Linked DNA regions of Anolis sagrei. The protein of the gene in region 2 purifies or fractionates together with the protein of the main gene of each other region. This does not show direct contact. Links are inferred from orthologs where the notes say so. Each region holds a gene or a part of one and is shown on either strand. Other genes may lie near its edges.

Region 1 (15,887 bases), on a different chromosome or scaffold from region 2:
CCGGGGCCTTGCGTGGGCCCTCCTTACCTCCCTCCCAGTCTCTGTCCTCTGTTGGCCCCACCAAACAGGGACCCCTCCACCTTCCTTTCCCCTGGTGAGGTGGGCATGTGGCTGCTCCATGCAGGCGCCGTTCGTCAGACTTCGCCTTCTCTTACCTGGGCACCGACGTGAAGGGAGCTTTGCAGCCCTCAGGCTGGGCCCGGCAGGGGTGGGAGACATTTTTCGAGGTGGGCCTTGCTCACCCAGCACTGTCAGTTTGTTTCTTTAAATTGAGTTTTACGGTTTTAATTTAAATTTTTATTGTATATGTTGATAGCATCATTGATGCTTATGTGAGGCCGCCTTGAGTCCCCTTTATGGGGAGAAGGGCGGGATAGAAATAAATAAATAAATAAATTTCTGCCATAGCCGCAGGGTGCCTTTCATGTGACCTCTCCTGTGTTTCCAAATGGCAAACTGGGGGGAAGGTGTCACGCAGCCATGGCAAAAAGAAGAAGGGGCAGCGCTGGGTGAGCCACTAGTGCTCCCTCTATTTTTATCAGTTTTATATTTATTTGTGCAATGCTTTTGACACAAAATAAATAAATTGTTAAGAATCATGCCTGTTTGAACATCATCTGTACAAGATGTTGATTGCACCAAATATTTATGTATTCAGAATTATATGGATCATTTATATATAACAATAGACAGATTTTTCAGTTGACTGAATTTATGTAGTTTGATTCTAAAACATATATGTGTGTCATTTATTATCTTCTTTTTTTGTTGCTAGAAAATTTTTGAATGAGTAGTTTTCTCTTTCTGATATTGCTTTAAAGTAAATACTGGTCAGCTAAAACCACCAACTTGAAACAACATGTTGCTTGGCTTGCTGTGAAGTAGGGATTATTTTAAACTACATTTCTGGTTTATATGTAGGAGCAACCCATCTCTTGTGAAAAGCCAAGCTGAAGCTTGCCAGAGTCCTCTGGACACATGTCAGCAGAAGTGTAAAGAATGGAACTTAGCCGTATAGTACTGAACTGTGGCTGAACATTATGCAAGTCAGTCCACTGTCTTCATCTAATAAAGAACAAAAACATGTCTTACTTCAGTTTTGTTGCACTCTAGCCCAGGAAAGAACACCTTTTCACCCAGCACCACAGAGTTCAGTATGAGTTAATTACAGCAATTTACAAAAAGCATATACAAAAGGGAAAATGAGCATTTCCCAAAAAGCAGTGGAAAAGGTTCTGTGAAATAGCCATAGTCCAAAATTACAAGATCAATAGTCCAAGATAGCAAGGTACATTAAATTCATGAAGTCAGGAACATAGGCATGAAAACAGGAACTTTTCCAAGACAAAACTATTCCAGGGACAAAGGCAAACGAGAGCTAAACATTAGCTTGATATGAATGCAGAGTTGTCTACTCCAAAGAGACCAGGAAAATACCACCCAATTTAAGCTCAAACCCAAACAAGATGCCATGTGGTCATCCCTTCAGCACCTAGGTTTCCAGGACTGTTTCTCATGAAGTCTTTCTGCCCTTCTATTTAACCTTTATTTTGCTCTCTCCCTGCAGAGGCCTAAGCTCATATCACTGGCCAACTCTGCATCCTCTGCAGGCCAAGAAAGCCGAGAAGGCTGATTCTCAAGAGAAAGGGAATCTCAAATATCCTCTATCTCTTTTGCAGCTGTTGGCCCTGCTCTCTCATCTACAGCCTGCATTCCTGTCTGCGTTTCAGCCTGATCACACCCAGACTCAGTAAAAAATACATCATTCCCCACATCCTCCAAGGCAGAATCTCCAGCATCTTGCTGCTAAGCCCCAACAAGTTTTGTAAAATCGTAAAAGTTACTTGTCACACAATGGTTAAAACATAACCAAACATAAGTCAAAGTCACTTATTGAAGCTGCTCTTTTAAATGGTTTTTTAATTAAAAAAGAGGTATGAGTTAATACATGTATGTTTATGCCTTCAAGATGATTTATGGTGACACTATGAGTTTCATTGTACTTTCTTAGACAAAAAAATATTGAGAGGTGGTTTTGCCAGCTCATTCCTCTGAAATACAGGCCCTGATATTTACTTCATATAGATGAATGTGTAACTTTTCCATTATACAACTGATTGCATAACCAAAGCTACAGTAATATAGCTATGAATAGGTTTTTAATTGGATGTGACCACTTATAATACAATTAATATTTAATTCTATTTTAAAATTTGTACATTTTTAGGTTTCAAATTGTATTGATACAATACAATTTGAAACACAATCTACAAACAATCTACAGACCTACTAAGAAAATCCAACAAAAGCTACATTCAGCAAAGGACAAGACGGATCCTCTCACTTCTTCACAAGTCTACCATATACCATGCAGCTGTGGACAAGTCTACATAGAAACCACCAAACACAGCAATGCCCAAACATCAATCAAGGAACACGAAAGACACTGCAGAATATTCAACCTGAGAAGTCAGCCATAGAAGAGCACCCGATGCCCTACCTGGACACAGAAAACAGAAATGCTGGACCACTCTAACAACTACCATGTCAGACTACACAGAGAAGCCATTGAAATCCACAAGCATGTGGACAATTTCAACAGAAAGGAGAAAACCATGAAAATGAACAAAATGTGGCTACCAGTATTTAAAAAAACCTCTAAAATCTGGACAGTAAATAAAGAGGAACACCTAAACTACAGGGGAATTCCTGAAATGAAACAATCAGGGCCAGCTAACACCTCCCAACAAAGGATTCCCCCAGATAGCAATCAGCCAGTCTTTGAAGCTGCAAGGCCATTCAATGCTAATCAAGCTGGCCATTTGCAACAACAGAGAAGAATTCTTTCTCCCACTCTAGACATTCCACAGATATATAAACTTCACTTGCCTAGTTTCCAAAAGACCTCACCACCTCTGAGGATGCCTGCCATAGATGTGGGCAAAACATCAGGAGAAAATGCTTCTGGAACATGGCCATACAGCCTGGAAAACTCACAGCAACCCCCTGTATTGTATTGGTTTTACTGTAAGCCACTGAGTCCCAAAAGCAAACATGTTATTTACCTCTTCTTCTTTGCGAATGTTGCACTGTAAAGGAGTCACCTGGGCAGGGTTTGAGGATGGAATTTTGGCAGCCAACTCTTTTGCTGCGGCTTTTAATCTGTCAAGTTTGCGAGAGGCTATGACTACATTGCAACCTGTTAAGACAAAACCAGATGAATATTGGGCATTAGTAGCAGTTGAATGATGCTTTGGGTAGGATAACGGATAGCATGCAGATTGAGATAAGCCTCCATTATCGTTTTCCAAAACTTCAAACACTCTCAGCAACTTTGGAAAATCGCAAACATGGCTGGATCAGATCAAAAGGCTTCTGTAACCACAAGAGCACTTTAGATCCAAGGTAGATCTGAGGTTTCTCCATGTTCACTTTCCATTACAGCAACTTGAGGAACCAGTTTAATAAGCTACTTCAGAGAAACATGGGATAGATAAACATATTTTGCAGTTTGAGCAATAGAGTTGCCTCACAACTTGTAAAAATTGACCTGCCTACAGATTCAGCAATGTTGTAGGTGGCCTACATTGTAAGGGCAAATCTCAACTGAGTGACAGTGCAAATGAGTAATAACTAGCCAACAAAGTAGAATTCAAACATTATTTCAATATCCCACTATGTAGGAAATAATCTACCATGTACCCCAAGTCCTTGGTATCTGCTGGAGTTTGGTTCCAGGATACCACATAGATACTAAAATCAATGGATGCTCAGGTCCCATTATATACATATAAGGATGTAGTAAAATTGTGTCCTTATATAAAATGTCAAAAATCAAGGCTGGCTTTTGGGAATTTTTGTTAATATTTTCAAACTCTGGATGGTTGAATACATGGATACGGGATCTGTGGATATCAAGGGCCACCAATACACTTGTTGAGGAAGTTTTAAATGCAGCTTTCAAATAAGAACACTATTTGTCTTTGCTTTGCAGCAAACATTTCCAGAATGCTCGTATTTTGCAATTGTCATGTTCTCCACTAGCCTTCCCCCATGCCAGCCTAATGTTTCGGATGGAAAGTGTCCACCAGCTTTTGGAAGCTAAGCAGGGTTAGTCCTGGCAAGTACTTGGTTGGGAGACCAGGTGCTATAGATTAGGACTTCTTAAACTTTTCCCTCTCACAACCCCTTTCTGCCTGAGAAATGTTTATGTCATCCTGGATATTTATAGGTATATAAAATAGATATAAAATCAAACACTTCCTGGAAATAAAACAGCAATTACAAGCCTTGCTAAACAGGCTGCATTTCATTTTTGTAAAATACAGGCAGCGCCCAAGTTATGAACAAGATAGGCTCTGTAGGTTTGTAAGTCGGAACAGGCACATTTTTAAGTGTCTGTCTCTGTCTCTCTCTCACACAGAGAGAGTTTAGCTGTGGATAGCATAGGGAAGGGTTAACAACCCTGTGGTCATTCTTTTGCTATTTGTGCCTCTGTTCAGAAGATTTCACCGCAGTTTCTGTTCTTGTGATAATTGAATTTTGAAAAACAAATATTGTGGAAACAAGAATTGGCGAGAAAGCTTCAGTAGAGACACCTTTCCCCCATGATAATGTTTTCCGGAGTGAATTTCCTTTCCTAGGTGTAGATTTCTCTGATTTCCTGTAATCTCACCCTTTTTTTTAGTTATGAGTTGTTTGCAAGTCAGATGTTTGTAATTCGGGGATGGTCTGAACAGCTGAAACCTTTTCTACACTATAAACACTGCATGTTGTGCTAACGGATTCTTGTAGATATCTAGGCTATATTCAGAATATTAACTGTTAGTCCAACATTGAGCTCTGGGGACCCCATTTGAATGAATGAAAGAATACAAATTTATTTATAGTCTGTCCTATTTCCCCAAAGGGACTCAGGGAAGCTCACTACAAAATACACAATGGTAAACATTCAATGCTGACAGTAATATATAAGCAAATCAATAAACAAATCAAGAACAACTCAATAAATTATAAACCAGCACAAGTGAACAAGACATAATGTAATCCACATAATTACTAACATATTAAATCCTTAAAAGATTTAAATTTCTAAAATCAGGCTAAAATTGTTGGGGGTAAATTGCCAGGACCCACAGTTTAGCAGTGCGGTAGAATATATTTCACAGAAAGAAAATGGAAAACCACCTCTGAGTCTTCCTTGTCTAAGAGAATATTATGAAATCCACAAGGTTGCCATAAATTGACAGGTGACCTGAAAACACACACACATGCATACACGTATAGTAGGTGTTAATGGTCAAAGGTCATGATTCAAACCCTGGTGAAAGCTCACTGGATTTTACATTGGGAAGAGTGGGAATGAGGGCCTTCACAAATTGCAAAACAAAACTGCATTATATGGCAGTGGCGATGGGGCTAACCCAGTGGTTCTCAACCTGGGGTCTCTAGATGTTTTTGGCCTACAACTCCCAGAAATCTCAGCCAGTTTATCAGCTGTTAGGATTTCTGGGAGTTGTAGGCCAAAAACATCTGGGGACCCTAGGTTGAGAACCACTGGTTAACGTTTTCTCTCAGGGGCCTTCCATTCAGCTATACAACCCAGAATATCAAGGCAGAAAATCCCACAATATTTCTTTGAACTACCATAGATTCCTGTTCACAGCAGAAAACGAGGGATTTTATTAAGCTGTGTCTAAGGGACCCCAGTTACTCTGAAAGCTATCATTACACACACCCACACCCACACCTTTTATGCAAATTAGCCTTCTTTGCAATCCCTGGTTTGCACCCACATGTCTTCAGCCTCTCATATGACAGTATTGCCAAAACAACACCTTCTTCTTTCACTAAATGCAACCCACGGCTTTTGTCTATACAGAACGTTTTCTGCAAAAAGTTTCCTCTTGACACCCCATCTCAGTATGTGAAAAAGAAAAGGTTCCCCCTTGACATTAAGTCTAGTTGTGTCCGACTTGGCGGGGGGTGGTGATGCTCATCTCAATTTCTAAGCCAAAGACCCAGCATTGTCCGTAGACACCTCCAAGGTCTTGTGGCTGGCATGACTGCATGGAGTGCCATTACCTTCCCGCTCGAGAGGTACCTATTGATCTACTCACATTTGCATGTTTTCGAACTGCTAGGTTGGCAGAAGCTGGGGCTAACGGTGGGAGCTCACCCTGTTCCCCAGATTCAAACTGCCGACCTTTCAGTCAGCAAGTTCAGTGGTTTAACTCGCTGTGCCATCGGGGGCTCCCAGTATGTGCAAATCCTATAAAATGTAAAGACTCATGCCATTAAATATGGTAGGAGTGACACCCGTCTGATTTCCCACCCAAAGCGGGTCTCTTGTATTTTATCAATGCGTTCGCCTTCAAGCTGCTTCTAACTCAGAGCGGCCCAGTGGCAAACTTGTCACAGGGCTGAGAGATTGTGACTCACCCAAGGGATTACCACAGCCAATCAGGACTTGAATCCTGCACACCAGAATCATAGAGTTGGAAGAGACCTCGTGGGCCATCCAGTCCAACCCCATTCTGCCAAGAAGCAGGACTCGCATTCAAAGCACCCCCGACAGATGGCCATCCAGTTTAAAAGCCTCCAAAGAAGGAGCCTCCACCACACTCTGAGGCGGAGAGTTCCACTGCTGAACAGCTCTCACAGTCAGGAAGTACTTCCTAATGTTCAGGTGGAACATTGTAGTTTGATGCCATTGAAACCTGCTCCTTCCTCCCTATGATTTCCCCTCACATATTTTCACATCATGTCTCTTCTCAGCTTTCTCTTCTACAAGCTAAACATGCCCAACTCTTTAAACCGCTCCTCATAGGGCTTGTTCTCCAGTCCAAACCACAGGAGACATTCAGACCCAAAAATATGGCACCAGTTTGGCTGCCATGGCAGTGGAAGTGGTGTCAAACTGCACCCGTGTATATCAGGCCTGGGCCAACTTCGGCCCTCCCTCCAGGTGTTTTGGACTCCAACTCCCACAATTCCTAACAGCCGGGGAGTTGGAGTCCAAAACACCTGGAGGGAGTTGTGGGAGTTGGAGTCCAAAACACCTGGAGGGAGGGCCGAAGTTGGCCCGGGCCTGGCGGAGAATTGGCCCCGCAGCGCCCCTTCCTGATCTGCCCACCGAGTTGCAAGAGGTCTGAGGTGATGGCCTTCCCGATGCCGGTGCCTCCTCCAGTCACGATGGCCACATGGTTGCGAAGTAAGCCCGCCGCCAAGACGCTGCTCCCTCCACCGCAAGCCATGACGAATCCTCCAATAGCCCAAAAAACTCCAAAGCGGGCTTGAAGCAGAGTCACGTGACGGCCCGCCTCTTTTCCCTCCCTCCTTTTAGGAATCCATTCCCGAAGGGGGCGCGGCCTCGAGTAAGCCACGCCCCTCCTCGTAGGAATCCTTCCAGAAGGGGCGTGGCCTCCATGAAGCCACGCCCACCCAATGCGTTGCAATGAGAGAGAGAAGGGGCGGGGGTCGCCTTGCAGCTGGTACCCAATGGGAGTCACTCAGGGGCGGAGGAGGACCAGGAGTGGGGGCTGCTCTTTCTCAGGCAGACGGAGACAGAGACAGAGACAGAGAGAGAGAAGGAGCCCCTTCCTGGGCTGCATTGTTCCTGCGAGGAGAAAGAGGAGGAAGGACCTTTGCAGGAGGAGCAGGTAAGCCCCCCCCCCCCCTTGGGCCCTTCCACTGGAGTTTCCATTTCCACGCTCTCTCTTCTAGCTCTTCCTCTTTGCACTCTTTGTATGTCAAAGCAAGGCGGGGGGGGGGGGGCACACACCAGATGTGCCTCTCTCTCTCTCTCTCCTTTGTAAATGGGATTTGTACAGCATTGATTGGCCTGTGTCCAAGTGCAGAGGAGAAAAGATCTCACTTGGAGAGTCTACCCACTTGGGGTTGAACATTTTATTGGGCAAATTCATTCATTCTTCAAACAGCCCCCCTTCCTGTAAATGGGATTTATAGTAGCTAATGCCTCCCAACAAAGGATCCCCCCCAGGCAGGAAGCAGCCAGTCTTTGAAGCTGCAAGGCCATTCAGTGCTAATCAAGGTGCGTCTCTCTCTTTCTCCTCCTTTGTAAATGGGATTTGCTCTGCATTGATTGGCCTGTGTCCATGTGCAGAGGAGAAAAGGTCTGAGTTGGAGAGTCTACCCACTTGAAGTTGAACATTTTTGGGGGTAAATGAATTCATTCTTTAAATACCCCCTTCCTGTAAATGGGATTTATAGTAGCTAACACCTCCCAACAAAGGATTCCTCCCAGGCAGGAAGCAGCCAGGCTTTGAAGCTGCAAGGCCATTTGGTGCTAATCAAGGTGGGTCTCTCTCCTCCTTTGTAAATGGGATTTGTACTGCATTGATTGGCCTATGTCCATGTGCAGAGTAGAAAAGGTCTGAGTTGGAGAGTCTATTCACTTGAGATTGAACATTTTTGGGGGTAAATGAATTCATTCTTTTACACCCCCTTCTTCTAAATGGTATTTATACTAGCTAACACCTCCCAACAAAGCATTCCCCCAGGCAGGAATCAACCAGGCTTTGAAGTTGCAAGGTCATTCAGTTCTAATTGGGGTGGCCAATTGTAACACTTGCCCCCAACAAACAAGAGTTCCTTCTCTCACACTGGACATTATTTCACAGATATATAAATCTTACTTGCTTAGTTTCCAACAGACCTCACAATCTCTGTGGATGCCTTGCCATAGATGTGTAAAGGTAAAGGTTTCCCTTTGACATTAAGTCTAGAAGTGTCCGACTCTACAGAGTGGTGCTCATCTCCATTTCTAAGCCGAAGAGCCGGCATTGTCCGTAGACATCTCCAAGGTCATGTGGCCAGCATGACTGCATGGGGCATCGTTATAATTTTATTTATAACCAGCGCTATCTCCCTGAGGGGACTCAGGGCAGTTTCCAAACATTTAATGCCATAATAAAAACAAAACAAGCCAAATGAACAATAAGTAAATAACACCAAGAACTGAAAACTAACCCAACATTAGTTAATCCTTCAGCCCCTGTCCTCTTTACTAAATACCTTAAAGAAAAACTAATTGTGAATCTTCCCTTTATAAACACCTTAAAGAATAATTAATTCTTAACCTTTCCTCTCTGAACATTCCGAATAATTCTTCAACACACACACACCCATTGTAAATGGGATTTACAGTGTGAATGAGCAGAGAGAATCTTCCTTGGAGGAATCTCTATTTTCTTCCTTCTGGATGAAATCCTTTGGCCAATTTATTAATTCTTCAACCTCCTTCCTCAATATCTTAAAGAAGAGGTAATTCTTATCTCCCCCTCCTCCCCTTTCTAAACATGTTCTTTAAACTGAGGTTGGCCCCTTCCACACACCTGAATACAATCCACATTGAACTAGATTGTATGGCTGTGTGGGCTAAAACCATCCAGTTCAAAAGCAGATATTGTTGATTTATCTGCCTTGATATCCTGGGTTATATGGCTGTGTGGAAGGGCCCTGAGCATCTCTCAGGAGTGCTTTAGTTGTGTGTTCCTGTATGACAGGATACTGAGCTCTATGGCCCTTGCAGTCCCTTCCCACCCATGCTTCTGTGCATTGCCTTTGAGGAGTACCTTGCAAGTAAAGGGAGAGTCATATGGCCCCACCTTTTACTCCGCTTACATGGTGTGGAGTTGTAATGAGGAGTGTGGTGGGCGGGATGTGGCTGCAGGTGAGGTTTGAGCCAGGGATGCCCTCTTGTGCCTGAGCTGTGGAGCTCCTCCTCCTTAAGTCAATTGCTGTCAATTAAGTAAATTGAATTTACCGCAATTAGGTTGGATCATTTTGTAAGAGGGAACTAACAACAGATGCCCTTCTGGGCTTGGAACTTCCCTGTGTGTTGCATCCTGGTTTTTTGAGATACTCTTGAGTATCAAGAGTAGAGAATGTGTCATTTTTTGCGGAAGGTGGGAGGGCATTGAAAGCATGTTGCTGCACCATTCCAGGTGCAGAAGCAAACCAGGAGTCCATCTGCACTGGCAAATGAATGCAGTTTGACACCACTTTTAATTGCTATGGCTCAATGCTATAGGGCAGGCATGAGAAAACTTCGGCCCTCCTACTGGCTGTTAGGAATTGTGGGAGTTGAAGTCCAAAACACCTGGAGGGCCGCAGTTTGCCCATTTCTGCTATAAAATCATGGGAGTTTTAGCTTTACAAAGCTAAAGAGTGCTGTTGCCTCACCAAACACCAAATCCCAGGATTTATTTATGCAATTTAATCTGTGTTCCCTAAAATGTCTGCCTCATCTTAGGACCAGCCTATGAGGTCATACTTATATACATGTCTAGCTGAAGATAAATCCCTCCATTGAATTCTATGGGACTCATATCTCAGTAGTAATTCCTGGCTCTGCACTGCTATTTACTTATCTGAGAGTAAGCTTTGTTGACTATAATATGATTTCTTGTGAATTGACAGTGATTATTTTAATTCTTTAAGTATTTTACTGCTTATGTGTTGCTCTGATGTTTTGATGAATGGTTTAATATCACAATGAATTTAATTTATATTGCATTTCTTGTATTTTTGTTGTAATTTGTAAAATCATGTTATAAGGTATGTTGCCTTCTGAACTTGATAGAAAATGGGATATAACTGGAATGCATAAATGTAGGAGCATGATATTAAAATATCAAAAAGGAAATAATGCCAGCTGTAGTAGAAAACAGTTGGTTGTGTGTGTGTTCCCCAAGATATGCAGTCATTGAATTTGGATATATCTAATATGAGTCGGCCATAACACCCCAATGGTACACTGGCCCAGGACAATTGATCAGTGGCATGCTAACTCAGCATGTCAATATGTTTATGAATAAGTTGTTTTAGCCTGATCTCTCCATTAAAAGGAGCTCCCGGCGGCACAATGGGTAAAACTGCTGAGCTGCTGAACTTGCTGATGTAAAGGTTCAAACCTGGGGAGCGGCGTGAGCTCCTGCTGTTATCCCCAGCTTCTGCCAACCTAGCAATTCGAAAACATGCAAATGTGAGTAGATCAATAGGTACCGCTCCGGCGGGAAGGTAACAGTGTTCGATGCAGTCATGCTGGCCACATGACCTAGGAGGTGTCTATGGACAACAGCGGTTCTTCGGCTTAGAAATGGAGATGAGCACCAACCCCCAGAGTCGGACACAACTGGACTTAATGTCAGGGGAAAACATTTACCTTTCCCTCCATTAAAAAGAAAAATAACTAATGGAATATTTCAAATCCCTGTCCAGTGTTGTTCAACATCTTTATAACTGATTTGGAGTGCATCTGCAATATAAAATTAATGTAGTTTGACACCACTTTAACTGCCATGGCTCCATGCTGTTGAATCATGGGAGTTGTAGTTTTACAACATTTTTTTGCCTTCCCTGCCAAAGAGTCCCAGGGCCTTGTCAAACTACAAAACTCAGGATTCCATAGCACTGAGACATGCCGTTAAACTGCATTAATTCTCCCGTGTAGGTGCACCCTTGTGTGATTAAACAAATGTGTATTACACATTCACATATGGCACAAAAATAGGCAGAGTTGTTCACATCCCAAAGGACAGAATCAGTATTCCAACTCGACAGATTGGAGCAGGATAAACATAAGGTGCTATATTTAGGCAGGATAAGTGAAATGTACAAATATTGGATGAGTAATTTGAAATAGTAAATGCTCCCAGTAGACTGCAGGCTAAACATGAATCAGAAGTGTGATGCAGCAAGCAAAAAAAAAAGCCCGTGCAGTTCTGGGGAAAAGTATGATAGCTGGGGCCCTACTCTAGTAGTTGGGAGCCTACGCTGGTTGCACAACGCGGGGCAGAATTAATGAAGGGAAGACGTGAGCAAAGCGGGTTAGAAAGGGGGGAAGACAGAAAGGGGGGGGGGCAACAAACAGCCAAGCATAATGCTTAAGGCAAGTGATGTTAGAGGTTATTTACTGTTAAATGATAAACAATGGCTTACGAAGATGGTAAACGGGGTAGAAATGTTTCCTCTCCCCCTTTGTGGCGAGCAATGTTCCCAGGACTCTGACACAGCTGTGTCTCTTACTCGCTCCAGTGTCTCACACACCTCTTCCCTTCCTTAATTCAGAGCTGCGTTACACAACTAGCGTAGCATTGGGTCCCAGCTATCATACTTTTGTCCAGTTCCGGCCTGTATCAATGGAACGAGGGAAGTAGCGGTGCTTTTCTGTTCTTTCTCAAACTCCAGCTGTAATGCTATGCAAAATTCTGGGTCCGGTTCAAGGATATTGCCAAAGTAGTGTCCAAAGGAGGAGAATCAACATGGTAAATGATCTCAAACCAAGCCTTTTGAGAAATGGCTTATGAAGCTGACTATGTTTAACTTGGAGAAAATAAGATTGAGTGGTGATAAAATAGTTATTTTTCAATATACAAAAGGATGTCATTTAGAAGACGTTATCTGCTGCTTCAAAGGCTAGAGCACAGAGCCTTGGGTTCAAATGGGAAGAAAAGAGATTTGCCCTAAACATTAGGAAGAGCCTTTGATGGCAAGAGGTGTTTGACAGTTGGAGAGACTATGTCGGAAGGTGAAGTCTCCTTTCTGGAAGATTTTTAAGGAGAAGGGTGATGACTATCCCTCGGGAGTGATCTAGCTCTGAATTCTTGCATTACAGATCTTTGGCCTAGCAGTAGTTCCCAACCTGTGGGTCCCCAGATGTTTTAGCCTTCAACTCCCAGAAATCCTAACAGCTGATAAACTGGCTGGGATTTCTGGGAGTTGGAGGCCAAAACACCTGGGGACCCACAAGTCCAAAACCACTGGCTTAGATGGCCCTTGCAGTCCAACACAGCTCTATGATTCCATAGTTATTTGGAGGCTAATGCTCCCCAGATATTAGTATCTGTTCAAGGAAATTTGTTGTCACACTGTGCTCAAATCATTATTCCTTTAACAAACGGGAATTTTAAAAATGTGTATTTCACCATAAGCGTCATCACATCTTTGGGTTGATAGTATATACAAATCAGTCTCAATCCACAAGCTCAAACTTCAGTTCTGGAGCAGTGTGACAAATCTTGGTGGTCATATACTTGCTCTTTATGCAGTGTTTCCTTTGTATAGCCACAATTTGTCTTTAGAAGACTGAGCAACTTGAAAAATAAATTGATATGTTTTCTATTTGTATGTTTACTCTATATTCCTTCTAAAGACTGCATATGATTTTAACACGTAGATCAATAGGTACCACTTCGGCAGGAAAGTAACAGTGCTCCATGCAATCATGCTGGCCACATGACCTAGGAAGTGTCTATGGACAACACTGGCTCTTCTGCTCAGAAATGGAGATGAGCACCACCCCCTAGAGTCGGGCATGGCTAGACTTAATGTCAAGGGGAAATTTCTACCTTTACTAGGCTAAAAGAGTGCTACAGTGGATTTTCAGGCTGAAAGAGTGCTACAGTGGATTTTCATGCCCAAATTATTTATTTATTGCTGCTATTGTATTAATTTGATTGTTTTAACTAGTTGTTGTTATATTGTATTTTGTATATTGTATTAAGTGAACTGTTGGGCATAGAATTGTGCCTTTTGTAAGCCGCCCTGAGTCCCCCCTAGGGGGTTGAGAAGGGCGGGGTAGAAGCACTCCAAATAAATAAATAAATAAATAATGGGTAATTCAGACCTTCTTCTCCAGACTCATAGTCTCAGTACAGTTTTAAGACTACTGTTCTGGAATAGAAATACTGTTAGTCTTGGAAGTATCTTTTGAATTAAATAATGCTTTATCAAGTGCTGTTAGTCTCCCTAGAATCAATGAAATTGAGCCAATTTAGTCTTGGCAGTCCCCAAGTTACAAACAAGATAGGTTCTGTAGGTTTGTTCTTTAGTTGAATTTGTATGTAAGTCAGAACAGGTACATTTTTAAAATGCATGTACAAAGGTTATCTAGAAAGTATGATTAGAAGACACATAGCTCTAGTGGGGAATTTTTGCAGGGTAAGTTGGTACCACTGCTGTGTAGCGGGAAGCCAACGAAAGCGAACTAACAGTGTCAGCCATCAGTAGCTCATCAACTGGTGTTGTGGTGAAGGTTAGAGATGAGCGTCCTCATTCCATTTCCCTCCAAGTGCAAAGTTTGTGCTGCAGTATGCTACCTAAATGCTAAGGGTATGAACACACTGCTGCGATTCATTGCAAAATTGTATCAGTTTATGGAAAGGACGTAATGTCAAGATAACATGTGACAAATTGGGTATGGAATATATTGTGAGACCATGAAGAAACTTCTCTAAGCCATCCAAAACAATGTCGTGAGATTGTACGACAGTTTGTCTCCTTCATGACAATGCACGTCCACACACCGCTCATACAACACAAGAGTTGTTGACTTCATTTGGTTGGGATGTTTTAAACCACCCATCTCACAGCCCCAATCTTGCACCCAGTCACTATCATCTATTCACTAAATTGAAGGAACATCTTGGTGGAAAACACTTTTCTGACAACGAGGAGGTGGAAATTGAAGTGACGAACTGGCTGAAAAAGATGGAGGGAAACTTCTATGACTCAGTCAACAAAAATTCATCTCACGGATGACAAAATGTATTGAACTAAATTGTGATTATGTGGAAAATAATGTAATACCTCTGCTACAATCCATGTAAGTTTTATTAAAATATATTCATTCTTTGTATTTTTAAAAAAATGCAATCTTACTTTCCGGGTAACTCTCGTATTTAGCTTTGGATGGCATAGGGAAGGATTAACATCCCTGTGGTGTTCGTTTTGGTGTCTGTGCCCCTGATCAGAAGATTTCACCTCACTTTCTGTCCTTGTAATTGGATTTTGAAAAAAAAATGGCTCGTTGTGGAAAAAAGTATTACTAATAAATCTTCAATTGATACAACTTTCCTTGTGATAACTCTTTCAGGGGTGGATTTCTCTCACTTCCTGTTGTCTCACCCCCATTCTTAACTAGGAGTAATTCATAAGTCAGATGTATGTAACTCAAGGACTGTGTATACTTTGCTATCCAAGCTGATTTGTAGCTTCCTATCTTCAGTCTCATTCCCATAAGCATCACCCTACTGGAATCTAGTTCAGTTGACAACTAGTCCGAATCATCCACAAGTCATCTAATATAAAATGCTTTCTGACAGCAAAATTCTATACTTGTCTATTCAGAATCAGTAGGATTTACTCTCTAGGAAGACAGCTGTAGAACTTTAGCAGAAAACAATGCTTTTGTTTAGCTTATGCTTCCTTTTTTTTTGTATGGCATCAGCCGTTGCCTTCAAAAGGAATAGTCAATCTCTCTTTAGGTACGGATTATCATTCTTTATGACCTTTCTGATATGGCTGTGTTTGTAATAACATGCATAGTCTATAAAAGTAGAATAGGGAGAGAATTCATATTGGAGATGTTGATTATGATCATCCTTTTTCTGGAACAGAAAATGATATTTTCAATGGATAAGATTTGCCACTTCCAATTGCACACTGCATGAGAAAGGCCACAAGAGCCTTAGCTTATTTAAAATTGAAGCGGATTAAAAGCATAGCTGTGCTTTGGGTGTGGCTTATGCCTGTGCAGAAACTAGTGCTGCACAGGGTGAAGCATATTAGATTTGTCAGTGCACAAATAAATACACAGGAAGGAGTGGTGACAGTGTCTAACTCACCAGGTTTGTTTCCAGGGTTGATTGCTCTCACATTTCTTGTGTTCAGCAACCATCATTCTGTCCCCTCTGCTTGCTTTTTTAAATGCCATATTCCATTAGGCTTTGTTGATTCCTCGCCTGTCATGTTGCTATGACACAGCCATATAAAGCACCATTTGTTTCCCTAGGATGCCCTACATATCTCAAATGGACTATATAAATTCAGTTCTTTAATCCCAGGGAAAGCACTAATCTCAG
Region 2 (16,077 bases):
AAATACAGTGGCATTAATAATGAGAAGAGATGTAGCAAAAGCAGTCAAGGGATTTAATACAAAGCCTAAGGGCAAGCTGATCCATTTAATCATAACCAAAATAGACATGTTGTAATTATAAGTGACTGGAATGTAAAAGCAACTGTTCAATGACTTGTGTGCAAGGACAAGAATTACTGCCTCTCATCGCATAATAGTCACACCTCCGTTTTTAGGGATGACAAAATTGTATTTTTGTTTTCCTCACATAATAGTCGCACTTGCATTTGGGACTGATTCCCTCTTCCAAGTTTCTGGAACTTAGATCATCCTCCATCTTCCTTTCTCTAGGTTTTGTGAACTGCCTCACCTCAGAAGAAAAAGAGAAGATGGAGAAGAGAAGAATGGCGCTTCAGAGGCCTCCATTTTATAGTTTTTAAATTTCCTTGCATTCAGAGAAAGAAGGAAGGAATGGGAAAATCAGCTCCAAATGGTTCTGCAAACAAACAAACAAACAAACAAACAAACAGAAACAGACCGCTTTGTTTGAGTATGGATTATTCTTCCCTCCTCCCCTTTCAGAAATAAGGCATTAAAAAAACACAAGAAAACAGAGAATCAAAGACAGGATGTTTTTGTTGCATAATAGTCACATCCCCTTTTTTTGGTGAAAAAAGGAAGGGAAAGTGCTACCATTGTGCAATGAAACATACTGCTTTGAAATGCTCTAGTGAAAGATGGGATATAAATATTTATTTCTTTTTTCATGTTTAAATATTTATATCCTATAACAGGCCTTTTCGTCATGGCCCACACAAAAGGGGGCTGTCACTAGACTGGTGGTCCCGGGATTAGGGAGGCCCTGAATGGGGAACATTTTAAGAACTTTTATCTTTTTTTCTTTAGGGTGGGTCTTTATGGGAAGGGCTCTGCACTTCCACACCATCCAATCCCACAAGCCCCACACTTCCATGCCATCCAATCCCATAGAGTGCAGGGTCTATCTAAATCCATCCTACTTTGGGGCAGGTAAGAAGAAGCTGCGTCATCCTGGCCTTATCCTTCTTGGTTTCTCATCTTCCCTGTGTTTACACTAGGGTCAATCCAACTCCCCGACACAGAATTCAGTCCCAACTATGACTATGGGGAGGGGGAGGTACCCTTCTATGTCTGATCTGTGTTATTCCCAGAACATGCTGCTGGGTTAACAAATTGAGGTAGGACAGACTTAATCCTTCGATGTCCTTTGGATGACTTTGGAATCTGCCCTGCTATTGTCTACATGTGAATGATCTCGAAAAGGCTGAGGTATAGTTCCACATCATCTGGAGTTCCCTTTAGTCCTAGCCACTGCTGTAGAACATGAGAAAAATAAGAACATTGGATCACCTTTTCAGAAGATATAAAATCTAGTTGGTACTCTAAACCTTATCCTGGGTGGAACACACTGAGTCATTAATCTGTGGAAAACTTAAAGAATCTTCTTCCCTTGGTCCACCTTTATTGCATCCATCAAAAAGGGTCAAAATCCCCTGTGAAAACTTTTGAAACCATTTATTTCTTCCTCAGGCAAAAATTAACAGATGTTACACTTGCTTAATAAAAAAGAAGGCAAACTGGATATGATTAACTACAGGCAGGAGACAAATCCTTTGGAAACAAAGTCCTAACTTCAGGTGGTATACATACACTTTTGAGGAAAAAGAGGTGATAGGTTCCATCTGCACTGCTATATAATGCAGTTTCAGTCTGCATTATATGACAGTGTAGATGAGGCCATAGTTCTCACTCTGGAAACTGCAAAAAACTCCCCCCCCCCCAAAAAAAACAGAAACAAAAAAATCTTAATTTATTCAATATTCAAGAAATCACATTGGGATAACAAAATATGTGGGGGTTTTTTATTTTGGGAGGAGAGAAAGACCAGTCTACCTTGACAGGGATAAGAAGGGGGCAGATAGAGTCAACACTGAGTCATCCGGAATAAAGGGAAAAAATAATTTAACATGCGTCTATTCAGTTCAAATAGGGTAAGAAAAAAAAAGAAAGGGGTTCTACCTTTTCTTTTTCATTGTTCAGATACTATAAGTAGAAACATTTCTCTTCCACTTCTGCATATTGTTATTTTTATATACTGAGTTCAGCTCCTAGAAATGCTATTATAGTTCCTTTGACAGTCTTCCTCCTACCCGGTAATTGCAAGTTTTGGGCTATATTTATCTACCAGACTCAAAGAAAGGAAGGAAGCCCTTTCAGGCATGCCAAACCAAAAATTACTTTCTGCACAGGGCATACAGGTAAAGACAGCATATTGCAGAGCAGGGGTCCTCAAACTAAGGCCCGGGGGCCAAATACGGCCCTCCAAGGACATTTAACTGGCCCTCGCTCAGGGTCAGCCTAAGTCTTAAGCCACTTGAAAGCACGGGACAACAACAACAATCCAATCTCATCAGCCAAAAGCAGGCTCATACTTCCCATTGAAATACTAATAAGTTAAAATTGTTCTTCATTTTAATTATTGTATTGTTTTTTGCACTACAAAAAATATGTGCAGTGTGCATTGGAATTCATTCATATTTTTTTCCAAATTATAATCCGGGCCTCCAACAGTTTGAGGGACTGTGACCTGGCCCTTGGTGTAGAGGTTTGAGTGTGGGACTAAGGCTGTAGAAGCAGGATTCAATTTCTTGTTCAACCATGGAAATCATGGCCCCTCCTACACTGCCATATAATACAAAACAGGCTAATCCACATTATCTGCTTTGAACTGGATTATATGAGTCTACACTGCTATATATAATCCAGTTCAAAGCAGATAATCTGGGTTTTATATGGCATTTTAGATGGGGCTATAGTCTTGGGGAAAAGGCTTATAAGGTCTTGGTTGGTGGATCCTATCTGACCTCTAGTGGTGGCAAAAGACCAAAGCACTTTCACTGCGAGTGCGCAAGTGTGAACAGACAAATCTTTCACCCATTCCAAAGTGGTCCTTAAAACAACACTCCAGCTACTTTGATTGTGGATGGCACGGTGCCTACGTGGGACACAATTGCATACATACAGGATTCAAAATAAATTACAATAAAAATATTAACTACAAACAAAGAGAACCAATTAGCTCTAAAAAGAATGTCCAATTTATCAATGTGTCTTTCAGGCTATAGATATTTAGGAATAGTGTGAACAAATGACATAGCACACTGAAATATATTGTTATATTTTTAAAAGCTAAAAGACTGGTCAATCATTATTAGGCAGACTAGCTGTTGTCAAAGCTCACATTTTACTGTCATTTCTATTTCAAACTGCCCTTATGTTCATTCCACACAGCCCTATATCTCAGAATATCAAGACAGAAAATCTCACAATGTCTGCTTTGGACTGGGTTATCTGAGTCCACACCCTGATAATGTGGGATTTTTTTCCTTGACATTCTGGGATATAGGGCTGTGTGGAAAGGCCCTCAGAGGGGCATTACTGCTTTTCTTCTTGTCTGAAGACAAAAATGAGAAACTATCAAAGACCTTATAATATTTCTGGTATGTACATGGATGGAAATAGTAAAAGCATGGAGGGGGGGGGAGTTAGAGAATTTATCAATACAGAATTGGATACACAACTAAAGTTTCCAGGGTCAGATGAACTACATCCAAGGGTATTAAAAGAAGTAGTAGAAATAATTTTAGAAACAATAGCAATCATCTTTAAGAATTCTCGGAGAATAGGAGAGGTTTCAGCATATATTGTTCCTATCTCCAAAGAGGGGATAAAAGAGGACCCAAACAATTACTACCCAATCAGCCTGACATCAATGACAGGAAAGATTATGGAGCAGATAATTAAATAGACAATCTGCAAACATATAGGAAGCAATACCATATTCAGAAAAAGTCAGCATTGGGTTTCTCAAAAACAACTGATGCCAGATAGAGTTACAAGCTTGGTAGATGAAATGAATGCTGTAGATGTAGATTGATTTCAGCAAGTCCTTGGACAATGCTACAGAAGTGAATTGGGAATGGGTTAACTGGCAGAACCCAAAGGTGCTTACAAATGGCTCCTCTTCAGCCTGGAAAGAAGTGGCCAGTGGAGGTGCCACAGAAGTTTGTCCTGCGCCCAGTGCTAAAAAAGCAGAGCACGATTTTGCGGGCCCTGCCTGAGCAGAAGCCGGTGAAAAGCTAAAAGGAGGGTCAGCTATGCCTGGAGAGACAATAAGCACCAATAAAAGTTTCCGTATTTCCCAATAAATCTCACCAGGATGAAGCAAAGCCACTGAAGTTTATTTTCTATTCCAGCTGGAAAGGATGATGACTGCAGTATCATGCAAAGGAGCAGACATGACTCCTGAGCAGGGAATTACAGAATATAAACAGTTTTCCCAATTCAAATTTCCCACGCCCGCCCCTGAGCCAGCTTCGCTGTGATTGGTTGTTATGTCAGTGAGCCAGGAGGAGCGGCCAGCGACCGATGTGGCTCATCCAATCAGAGCCCAAGCCCCACTTCAGTCCATTCATAAAAAAGGAGGTTCATTCATAAAAAAAGGAACCCAATTCATAAAAATGATCAGATTGGCCTGATGCTAGCCTGGGTTTTAGGGGTGACACATGAGGAATTTCCGGGGTCTGCAAGCACCATCAGGCACCACTCGAGGCGACACACAAAAGAAAAATGGTACTGCTGTCATGCAGAACCATGGGACCATGAAAAGGTCCTAGGTTTCCACATGGGAATTTTGGATGAGAAAGATGGATCTGAGGGGTGTAGGGGTCCATTCAGCAGAAATTGAGATAGTAGTTAGACTTATAATTAATCAAGAAAGATGATAATGCTGGTCTGGGGCCGATCAGTTAAGTCACGGATACCGAAACCGGGGTGGGTCCCCGTATCCACGGTATAAAGGATCACCCCCCGGGACGCTGCTGGAGCGTCCCAGGCAAGCCAGCAGGGCTGCACGGCTCGGGAGAGGGAAAATTTATGGTTTAAGGCAGAGTTAGAGTAAGTAAAGGACACAATGTCTCAGGCAGGTAGCAGAAAGTTACTAAAAGGATACTTCTTTATTGGGGAATTGTTACAAAGAGGCCAAGGAAAAGGGAGGAAAAGGAGAATCTCTTGTTGTAGCTGTTGCTAGTGCCTCTGTCCTGCAGATACTTGGAAAACTCATACTCCCAGGAACTGTGGAACCCCCTGCTGTGGTCAGATTAATTTGAAGGCAGGGGTTTCTGTGTTAGATGACACTTTTCAACATCTTTATCAATGGCTTGGATGATGAGTCAACAGCGTGATGCAGCAGCTAAAACAGCCAATGTGAGTCTAGGTTGCATCAATAGGCACATTCCTAATAGCCTGGTCAAGATTGAGAGAAGTCAGAGTCCCACTCTATTCTGCTTTGGTCAAACTTCACCTGGAATGACCTACACCAGGCATGGGCAAACTTCAACTCCCACCATTCCTAGCAGTCTCAGGCCACTTCCTTTCCTACAGCAGGCGTGGGCAAGCTTCGGCCCTCCAGGTGATTTGGACTTCAATCAACTCCCACAATTCCTAATAGCCTGGTCTAGATTGAGAGAAGTCAGAGTCCCTCTCTATTCTGCTTTGGTCAAACTTCACCTGGAATAACCTGGGTCCACCGCAATATGATTTTATGATTGTCTCTGGCAGAGTGATAAAAACTCCAGGTAAAGGTGCTTAGTGCCCAGAATCAGGAGTTTTTCACCCTCAGGGCCCAGTCCACTCATGCACTGTAATTTCTTTGTACTGGAGCATGAAAGAGGCCTTGTTGTGCCAGTAAAACACGTGAACATGGAGAATGCAAGTGCATGGGAACAAGTCTTGACCTGCTGCACAGCACCTATGTGTGGGTGCTTGGCCCACCTGTCCTGGCATGCAGTGGAAAGGTATGGGGTGCCTTGGTGTGATATGGGAAGTCCTTGCCTGCTGGGTGCATGCATTAGCATCTCCTTATTTTTATCTGTGAAATGTTGTTGGGGAAAAGCTCATTACGTTGATGTGCCTGCTGTGGGGTTTGTTTGTTTGTTTGTTTTGCTCAGTTACAAGAACTTGCACCCACTGGTATCTTGTTGTATTTCTGGCTGGATTTGGTCTTTTCTCACTATCATATAATTCAGTTTGTGAATCCAGATTATTTTATTTGAACTGGATTATCTGGCAGCAGGCCCTTTCAGACAGACCCTATATGCCAGGATCTGATCCCAGGTTTTCTGTTTATCCTAGATTACCTGGCAGTGGGGGACTCATATAAACAGATCCTGGGATACAGGGCCTGTCTAGAAGGGCCCTGAGGATGGATCTATACTACCATATAATCCAGATTCTGAATCCGGATTATCTGTTTTGAACTGGATTATCTGGCAGTGTAGGCTCATATAATCCAGTTCAAAGTAGATAATCCAGATTCAGAAACTGGATTATGTGGCACTGTAGATGGGGCCTGACTTCAAAGGGAAGTAGCAGCCAATAATGAAAGGACCAAGGCAGTGACATCTCCGTCCCATCCTCTGTTCAGATATCAGCCAGCACGCCAATACCTTAAATCAATAAACAGCTTTCTAAGATCTACAGAGCTACTTGCAGAAAAACCTCACTAGGCGAAAGTCCAAAAGTGGCAGGCTAAAACCCGGAACCTCAATCCATGGCTGATACCGGATGAGAAACTTCCTCCTTTTCACACAGAAGACTGGGCGACTTGGAAGGTGCTGAACAGACTGCACTCTGAATCTGGATTATCTGTTTGAACCGGATTATCAGGCAGCATAGGCTTGTTGTTGTTAATTAATCTTTTATTAAAGGATAAAATAGGGGTACATTAAGGGGTTATTTCTCAACTTATTTAAAATGCACAATGAGTCAATAAGAATGAAGAACCACCACCACCAGTAAATTGTGAATTGTGGGAAAAGGGGGGGGGGGCGTAAAGAAAGTAGAGAAGAGAAAAAAGAAAGAAAGAAAAAAGAAAAGGTGAAAAATCTGAGAAAATAGAGGACTGTGCACAGTAATCTTCAATTTCCTCTGATGTAGTCCATTCAGGATATCTTGATATTCATATCTATTTCCCTCTGTCTCTCCTCATCGTATCTTCATTATATCTAACTTAATTTTAAAGAAGTTCTTAATTGCTGTCCAATCCGTCTTTCTTATCGTGGGTTTCAGGTTTTTCTTGAGTGCATTTGTTAGACTACCCATATTCATTATGTCGAGGATTTTTATTGTCCACTCTTCTAGTGTTGGGATCTTTTCGCTCTTCCATTTTTGGGCATTACTATTATATCATCATCATCATTATTATTATTACTATATTACTGACACAAAACACAGCATGTGACAGCAAATGAGATCTATATGCTGGATTTCTTATCATAAAAGCAAAAGGCGAACACTTCCCAAGCGTCTAGGACTGTGTGATGTATTTTCAAATGATGCGTGCAGATCCAAATAAGGTGGCCTTTTGCAGTTGACAGATCGTGATTTTGTCAATGTTTATTGTTTTCAAATGTCGGCTGAGATCTTTTGGCACGGCACCCAGTGTGCCAATGATCACTGGGACCACCTGTACTGGTTTATGCCAGAGCCTTTGAAGTTCGATTTTGAGGTCCTGATAACGGCTGAGTTTTTTCCTCTTGTTTTTCCTCAATGCGACTGTCACCCATTATGGCGACACCAATAATCTAAACTTTTTTATTTTCTATAATCATGATATCTGGAGCATTGTATTCCAAAACTTTGTCAACCCCACAGTATTTTGCATGTTCATTTTCCACTACCTTTGCAGGTTTATAATCCCACCGGTTCTTTACTACTGGCAGGTGGTACTTGTGACATTGCCAATCCATACTTTCTTTTTTAACACGAGTGTGAGTTCAGGAGTATTGCTCTCCAAAACTCTGTCAGTCTGAATTCGGAGTCCCAGAGGAGTTTGATGTGTTCATTCTCTGTAACTTTTTCCGGCTTATGATCCCACCAGTTCTTTGTCGCAGGCAGATGGTATTTGTGGCACAGGTTCCAATGAATCATCTGAGCAACGGTGTTATGCCTCTGCTTGTAGTCTATCTGCGCGATCTTCTTGCAGCAGCTGAGGACTTCCTTGCAGAGTCTACATTTGGGATCTGTTGTCGACTTTTCAATTCTGGCTTTGTTGGCATTGGTTCGAATGCCTCTAGAACATGGCCATATAGCCCGAAAAAACCCACAAGAACTGAGTGATTCCGGCCATGAAAGCCTTCGACAATACATTGGTTCGAATGGCTTGTTCTTGGGCTGCCAAAATCAGTCCCTCTGTCTCCTTTTTCCAAGTTCTATTTGTGAGCCATATCCATGTTTTTTCTTTGTCAATTTGGTTCTCAGTTTTTCCCAGGAACTGTCCATGGAGAGCCTGGGCCCGCTTCATGGTTCATGGTTCATCCCTCTCCTTCCAGGAGGCCTGGCTCTTTAAGGGCTGGCCCCGCCCCTTGCCTCTTTTGGCGAGTCTAGCCAGGTAGGCCTCACGGGGGCGGGGACAGAGAGCGAGAAGGAGGCGGGGCTTGCGCCTCGAGGGAGGGGCGGGCCCCCCGTGAGCCAGAAGGAGGGGCCTCGCGCAGTGGTCGCCAGTCCGGGCTTCGCGGCGGCTGGAGCAGAAGCAGAAGCAGGAGGGGCCGAGGCCTTGCAAGCTTGGCGAGTGGCTGTCTCCCCGGCGGTGCAGAAGAGAAGCTCCCGAGCCCGGAGATCAGGGCAAGGCAGAGGCTTGGAGAGAGGTATGGAGGGAGGCTGGGGAAGGCCCAATCCGCGGCCTGGCTTGCGCCTCTCGAGGGACCACTCCCTCCAGCGCGAGCCCCAGCCCCCTGGAGGAGCTGCATGCTTGGCAGAAGGGACTCAGTGCTTCCCAACCTGTGGGCCGCAGGGACCTATTGGACTTCATTTCCCACAATTCCTGGTCGTGGGCCGAGCTGGCAAGGGCTTCTGGGAGTTGAAGTCCCAAATACCTGGAGCGCCAAAGGTTGGGAATCTAGACCAGGCATGGGGAAGGTTGGACCCACTGAGTGTTTTGGACTTCAACTCCCACCATTCCTAGCAGCCTCAGGCCCCTTCCTTTCCCCCCTCAGCTGCTTAAGCGGCTGAGGAGGGAAAGGAAGGGGCCTGAGGCTGCTAGGAATGGTGGGAGTTGAAGTCCAAAACATTCAGTGGGTCCAACTTTTCCCATGCCTAGTCTAGATGGATATAGAGAGAGCTCAGCTTCCCACTGGGCCCCTCAAGGGAAACCCAGCCAAGCAGGTCACATGATCTGGCTGAGCAGACCCCGCAGTGCAGTTATGCCCCTTCCTCCAACAGGTGAGGAGGGTCTCCCTTTCTCCCCCGTCACTTGCCATGGCCATGAGGGAGCTGGTGGAGCCCGAGTGCGGGGGCTCCAACCCCCTGATGAAGCTGGCCAGCCACTTCACCCAGGACAAGGGCCTGCAGCAGGAAGGACTACGGGGCACCCTGCCATGGCCTTCTGGGCCACCCACAGCCGAGGTGGTAAGTAGAAGGAAGCTGTGGGGTTGTGAGAGGGTGTGGGGAGAGTGGTGTGGCTCAGACCATCCCAAGATTGAGGCTAATTAATAATAATAATAATAATAAGTAGTAGTCAAGGTGATCCCAGTGGTGATCGGCACACTGGGTGCAGTGCCTAAAGACCTTGGCCTGCACTTAAACACAATCAGCACTGACAAAATTACCATCTGTCAGCTGCAAAATGCCACCCTACTCGGATCTGTAGGCATTATTTGCCGATGCATCACATAGTCCTAGACACTTGGGAAGTGTCCAACATGTGATCCAATATAACAACCAGCATAATGATCTTGTTTGCTGTGTATTAATCTTGTTGTGTGTATTAATCTTGTTGTTGCCTTTGACTGTGTGGATCATAATAAATTGTGGCAAGTTCTTAGTGGGATGGGCATACCAAGCCACCTTGTCTCTCTCCTGAGGAATCTGTACAAGGACCAAGAAGCAACAGTAAGAACTGACCACGGAACAACAGACTGGTTCAAGATTGGGAAAGGCGTACGGCAAGGCTGCATCCTCTCACCCAACCTTTTTAACTTGTATGCAGAACACATCATGCGATGTGCGGGGCTTGATGAATGCAAAGCTGGGGTGAAAATTGCTGGAAGAAACATTAACAACCTCAGATATGCAGATGACACCACTCTGATGGCCGAAAGCGAGGAGGAGCTGAGGAGCCTTCTAATCAAGGTGAAAGAAGAAAGCGCAAAAGCTGGGTTGCAGCTAAACGTCAAAAAAACCAAGATTATGGCAACAAGAATGATTGACAACTGGAAAATAGAGGGAGAAACCGTGGAGGCCGTGACAGACTTTGTATTTCTAGGTGCAAAGATTACTGCAGATGCAGACTGTGGCCAGGAAATCAGAAGACGCTTACTTCTTGGGAGGAGAGCAATGTCCAGTCTCGATAAAATAGTAAAGAGTAGAGACATCAGACTGGCAACAAAGATCCGCCTAGTCAAAGCCATGGTATTCCCTGTAGTCACCTACGGATGTGAGAGCTGGACCTTAGGGAAGGCTGAGCGAAGGAAGATCGATGCTTTTGAGCTGTGGTGCTGGAGGAAAGTGCTGAGAGTGCCTTGGACTGCGAGAAGATCCAACCAGTCCATCCTCCAGGAAATAAAGCCCGACTGCTCACTGGAGGGAAAGATACTAGAGACAAAGTTGAAGTACTTTGGCCACATCATGAGGAGACAGGAAAGCCTAGAAAAGACAATTATGCTGGGGAAAGTGGAAGGCAAAAGGAAGAGGGGCCGACCAAGGGCAAGATGGATGGATGGCATCCTTGAAGTGACTGGACTGACCTTGAAGGAGCTGGGGGTGGTGACGACCGACAGGGAGCTCTGGCGTGGGCTGGTCCATGAGGTCACGAAGAGTCGGAGACGACTGAACGAATGAACAACAACAACAAATCTTGTTGTGTTTCAAATAATAATAATCATCATCATCATCTTTATTTATACCCTGCCACCATCTCCCCAAAGGGGACTCGGAGTGGCTTACATGAGGCCAGGCCCAGTGATACATTACAGCAACATAAAATATAAACAACAAAATAACATCACAATAAAATAAATAAACCAATAAAGTAAAATAAACAGTACAAAGTAACATAATGGAAAATAAAACACAGTGGGTGGGCCAAAGGTACAACATAAAATGATAGTACACTGGATGAGAATGATGATGATGATGAACATGGAAAAATACTGTGGGACTTTTGAATCCAGACTGACTAAGTTTTGGAACACAATACACCAGACATCACAATTGTGGAAAAGAAAAAAGTTTGGATTATTGATGTCGCCATACCAGGTGACAGCCGAATTCATGAAAAACAACTGGAAAAACCCAGCCGTTATCAGGACCTCAAAATCGAACTGAAAGGCTTTGGTATAAACCAGTACAGGTGGTCCCAGTGGTAATTGGCATACTGAGTGCCATGCCAAAAGATCTCAGCTGGCATTTAGAAATATAAACATTCACAAAATCATCTTACTTGGATCGGCGCGCATCATTCAAAAATACATCACACAGTCCTAGATGCTTGGGAAGTGTTCGACTTGTGGTTTTGTGATATGAAATCTAGCATATAGATCTCATTTGCTATGACGTACTGTGTTTTTGGGTCAGTAAAATAATAATAATAATAATAATAATAATAATAATAATATTTCTCACCTGCCTCTTCTCATGGCTGGAGGTGGGTTACAAAACAATTGTTTGTTTTAGTATGTATTTCATAGAGATACGTTTTGTATGTAACTTTTATGGAGGTACGTTTTAGTGTGTATATTTGTAGTGTTTTTGTTGTGTTTATGTATTTTAATTGTTTTTTAACCTGCCACGAGGAGAGGCAGGTAATAAATGAAATAATCATAATTAGTTATTATTACATGGTTCTTAAAATTCCATTGATTTATTCTCTGCCTCTCTGAGGCCACCACATTCTCCAGATAAATGGAAAATGGATAGTCGACTTTTGATTTCAGGAGCTGGTCTGCTGATAGTAAGAGATTAATCATAGGTGATCACTTTCGGCCGAGTATGAATGTCTTCTCACTATATAACATGATTTTTGTTCCTGGGTTATAAATGTCATTTCCTAATTGGTTCTATCATAAACATATGGGGGGAAAAACTTAGTAAACTGCAAAAACTTTGCTCTTGTGGGACATTCTGCTATATCACATTTTGCTATTGTTTTCCAATGAATATCTCAACCAATTCAACATAGTTTGTGGCAGCCACCAAAACAAAGTGTATAAGAGTATAACAACTACTTTCAACATTAAGTACCATACAATTAAACAGGAAATAACACTTTCAAACCAGGAACAGCAAAATTTTCAAATTATGTTACATAGTGTGATAATTTACTTTAATTATACCCTGCCTTTCTCCCCGAGGGAACTCAAGGAGGCTAACAGTCATACATTTTGATCCATTTGAAACAAAGCAAATACATTTTTTTTAAAAAAAACCCAGTATTTTTCGTGTTAAATTCAAAATACAGTTAAAATACAACAAAATGTTTGGTTTTTTAAATATCACATCCCCCAGAAATCCAACCCACAACCTTCCCAGCAACATGCCCCTTCTAGAGGTAGAGTCTTGGCCGTGGATCAGTGAAGACCTATTCTGGATCTGCATGGTATTTCACATAGATTTCTAGATAGCAGGTGGTCCCAACATGGGTTTGCTTGACATGCCTTCCTCTTGTCATGTTTCACCCTTTCACTCTCTCTTTGTACCTCTTCAAAATCCATAGAACTGTTGGTAAGAGCTGACCTCCAGTTGCAATGCTTGAGAACCCCGGCTTTTTAGTTCTCTGTATTTATACCACATTTTTAAAGGTTAGCTTTAAGCCCGTTTTTAAATCTCTCTTGTCTGCAAACATTGGTGAGAGACCAAGCCACAAAGGGCTTAATTTACTTCTGGAAGGAAATGAACAGGAGTCTATTTTAACATCCCACTCTAACTTGCCCCATGCATTGTCCAAAATTGGCTGAAAATCACAAGTGTCTCTGAAGTAGCTCCCTAAGCAAGCCCATCACTTTGGAGGTGGAATGGAAATGGGGGAGTGTCCTCCAGATGCACTGTACTTTGGAAATAAAGTTTAGATGGGCAGTGGAGTGTATCTGTCTGATGGGATCCTCACTAATGTTGGAATCCAAGCCCACCCTGTCCAAATCTCAAGTCCTCAACAAGGATCAGTTAGTTTAGGATAGGCTAAGGGAATTCCCTTCACCCAAGTCTCCTATATGACAGTTGGGGGTGTATCTTTTTCATCTCCTCTCTTTCTACTCTCATTCTGATTGGTTATTTATGAATACTTGTCTACTGCAAGCCTTTTTTTAATTTTCTGCCTTCTTACACTTTAGTATGGAGAATATAATATGTATTGTGTGCTTTGAGATCTCTCTCTGCTTGTGTGTCAGGAGAGATGTAATGATTGAGTTTTTTCCCCTTTTTCCCCTTAGGAGAGATGGGTGTTAGAGTAGCTCAGATTCAGTTCTTCACCATGAAGAAATGTAGTTAGTTCTTTATTATTGTAAATGACTTTTATTGTAAATGATTTGTGATTTTTTAAAAGATCGGATTCTGCGTGTTTGCTTCGTAAGCTCTGAAATCTTTGCGGCCACATCACATGGCACTGCATGTTCTGCTCGCCTTTGGGCTGATTGCTCAACTATTGGTATCCAGTTTGATTTTTGGATGCTCTGCTTTATTTTAGGGTAGCTTTCCCTAACAACTAGACCCAAAAGTCGTTGTTGGTGTTCTGCCAAATATACATTAATGTCCTGATAGCTTTGCCACTATTTTCTGAGGAAATGAGCCTGAGAAGGCCTACCTGAGTTGTTCATTTAAGGGCATTAAATTCTTCTCAGGAAGATTTAAGAACCAGTTATATGGGAATCCTAATGGTTTTGCAAGAGTCTTTCTAAACACAGAGATCACTGAGATTGCAACAGTTTTTGTTACAAGTAAGTTTGTTGAGCTCTACCTGGGATGATGTGCAAATATTGTCTCATCTGTTGTAGGAAAAGAGGGGTCCTGTAAAATTTGGAATGTGCCACCTCTCAAATGTTTCTTTTTTTATGAGTTCTCGGATAACATTCCCTTTTCTTCTGTAGATATCTAAACCTCTTGGAAGAGCCTCAGAAGACGAAGTAAGAACTTCAATGATTTTTTTCTCTTTCCTTCTCGTTCTGTTGTGTGCTCTGTGTTTTTTAGAGGGGTGGCTTTGTTAGCTATTGCTGTAAAAACAAAGACTTGTGAGTTTATATTGACTACAGTTTGCTTAATCCTCACAAGATTAGACAGTCATTCTCCCATTGTGGTAGGGGCTAGGGCCACAAGATCATAGCAAATGTGGGAAAGCCCAAATAGCCCCTCCCCTGTTCTTTCTGGGACACGAGGGGCCCAAACCATGCTGCTCTGCCCTGCTCCCTCCCCCAGCCTGCTAACTGGGCCACAGTAGTTGCCACAGCTCCACGGCCTCTTTGCAGCGTGGCTGCCATCTCAACCTCACAGGCCTCAGCCAGTAGATTCTAGGAGGAAAAGCAAGCCCTATGCATTGACATTGCTACCAGTCCACAGCCTACTGCTTCCAGGGGAAAACAAAACCAAATAAGAGAGCCAGAAGCATTTTTTCCTGTTTTTCCTGGAATGAAGCAGGTGGCCATACAAAACATACCAATAAATCCTCTAAGCCAAAACCCTTGTTTCTCTCCCCCCTTCCCCCCCAGCAAGACTTGAAAAACAAATGGGAGAGAGGCTTGGCTTAGAGGATTTATTGCTGTATTTTGCAGTGCCACCTGCTTCATCCCAGCAAAACAGGGGAAATTGCTACTGGCCCCTTTTCTTGTTTTTCTGCCCCCGTCATGGCCCAGTTAGCAGGTGAGGGGTGTGTGTGTATGAGGGAGGCAGGCTCCAGCTCTACTGCTGCCCTACATTTTTAATAAGAACATATGAGCCTCATTACATGTTCACGGACTACCTCACTCTTACCAGACTTGCAGTCCATATGTAGGGCGGCAGCAGAGGTGGCACCAAATAACCCATAAATAAGCAAAGTGACAAAAAGTGAAATCCGCAAAAGTGGAGGGCCAACTATACCATAACAAATGAATTAGTCTTGGAGTTGCCAACACCCTTAAACTATTCTGCAGTATTTACATACACTCTATTTGTACCCCCCTCCCCCCGAATGCTTTTTGGTAGCTGGTGGCAGAGTTCCTTCAAGAGCAAAATGGCCCCCTGCTGTCTCGTGCACCACAAACATTCAAGATGGATGATCTGTTGGCTGAGATGCAAGAAATCGAGCAATCCAGTTTTCGGCAAGCCCCACAGAGAGGTAAATATTACACAGGGGATGAGAGCATGTGATGATGGCATCCATTCCTGTCCAGAGGAAGGATTTCTCTGGGAATTGGAAGGAAAGTTAGTGAATTTAGGAAACAGCGTAAGGTGGGGAATCTTGTGTACTGGTACTACTCTTGCTAAAGTTTGAACACCCATGTTAACTTGTTCTCTGTCCCTCAGCTCCAGGGGTTGCAGCCCTGGCTCTCTCTGAAAACTGGTCACAAGAGTTCCTTAATGCTGCCGACAGTGTGGTTGATGTTTCTACGGATTATAACGAAGCTGACTGGTCCCAGGAGTTCATTGCTGAAGTTGCAGGTGAGGCAAGATTTTGAGGGCCAGCAGTATCTCATGAAGGATTTTATTTACCTGTCTGGCAGAATGGGCTTGGATAGGATGGCCCACATGGTCTCTTCGAACTCTATGATTCTATGACTTAGCTCCATTTTCCAGCCAGTCTTATGAGGGGCATTCTTTAAAGATTTCCCCTGACCCACTTCTATTTATCACAGGATGTGGAAACTGCACATGTGTAATGATATAAGTCTCTATGGGTTACATGCCAATTTACAACTCAGAACTGATAACAGTCTTGTTTTTACAAGTGCTGGAGTGGTGTGAGGTTTGATAATGGACTCAGTGAAATATAGAGCAGTCATCAAGTTCCTTTACTTGAAAGGCCACACACCAAAGCAG

The links.
Region 1: the proteins of PEX5 (region 2) and PECR purify together in Homo sapiens (affinity purification with mass spectrometry; 3 studies listed by BioGRID, with this or other methods). This does not show direct contact. The link is inferred for Anolis sagrei from reciprocal best matches to the Homo sapiens genes PEX5 and PECR.

What each region holds. Positions count from the first base shown.
Region 1 is NC_090021.1:226,560,710-226,576,596, forward strand, and holds the start of PECR (peroxisomal trans-2-enoyl-CoA reductase), read right to left. Parts: upstream 7,334-15,887; 5' UTR 7,257-7,333; coding exon 7,136-7,256; intron 3,576-7,135; exon of another isoform or gene 3,200-3,575; coding exon 3,066-3,199; exon of another isoform or gene 1,568-3,065; intron 1-1,567. UniProt on the Homo sapiens protein: Participates in chain elongation of fatty acids. Catalyzes the reduction of trans-2-enoyl-CoAs of varying chain lengths from 6:1 to 16:1, having maximum activity with 10:1 CoA. Has no 2,4-dienoyl-CoA reductase activity.
Region 2 is NC_090022.1:198,465,374-198,481,450, forward strand, and holds the start of PEX5 (peroxisomal biogenesis factor 5), read left to right. Parts: upstream 1-8,538; 5' UTR 8,539-8,723; intron 8,724-9,297; 5' UTR 9,298-9,333; coding exon 9,334-9,483; intron 9,484-14,153; coding exon 14,154-14,189; intron 14,190-15,243; coding exon 15,244-15,376; intron 15,377-15,564; coding exon 15,565-15,699; intron 15,700-16,077.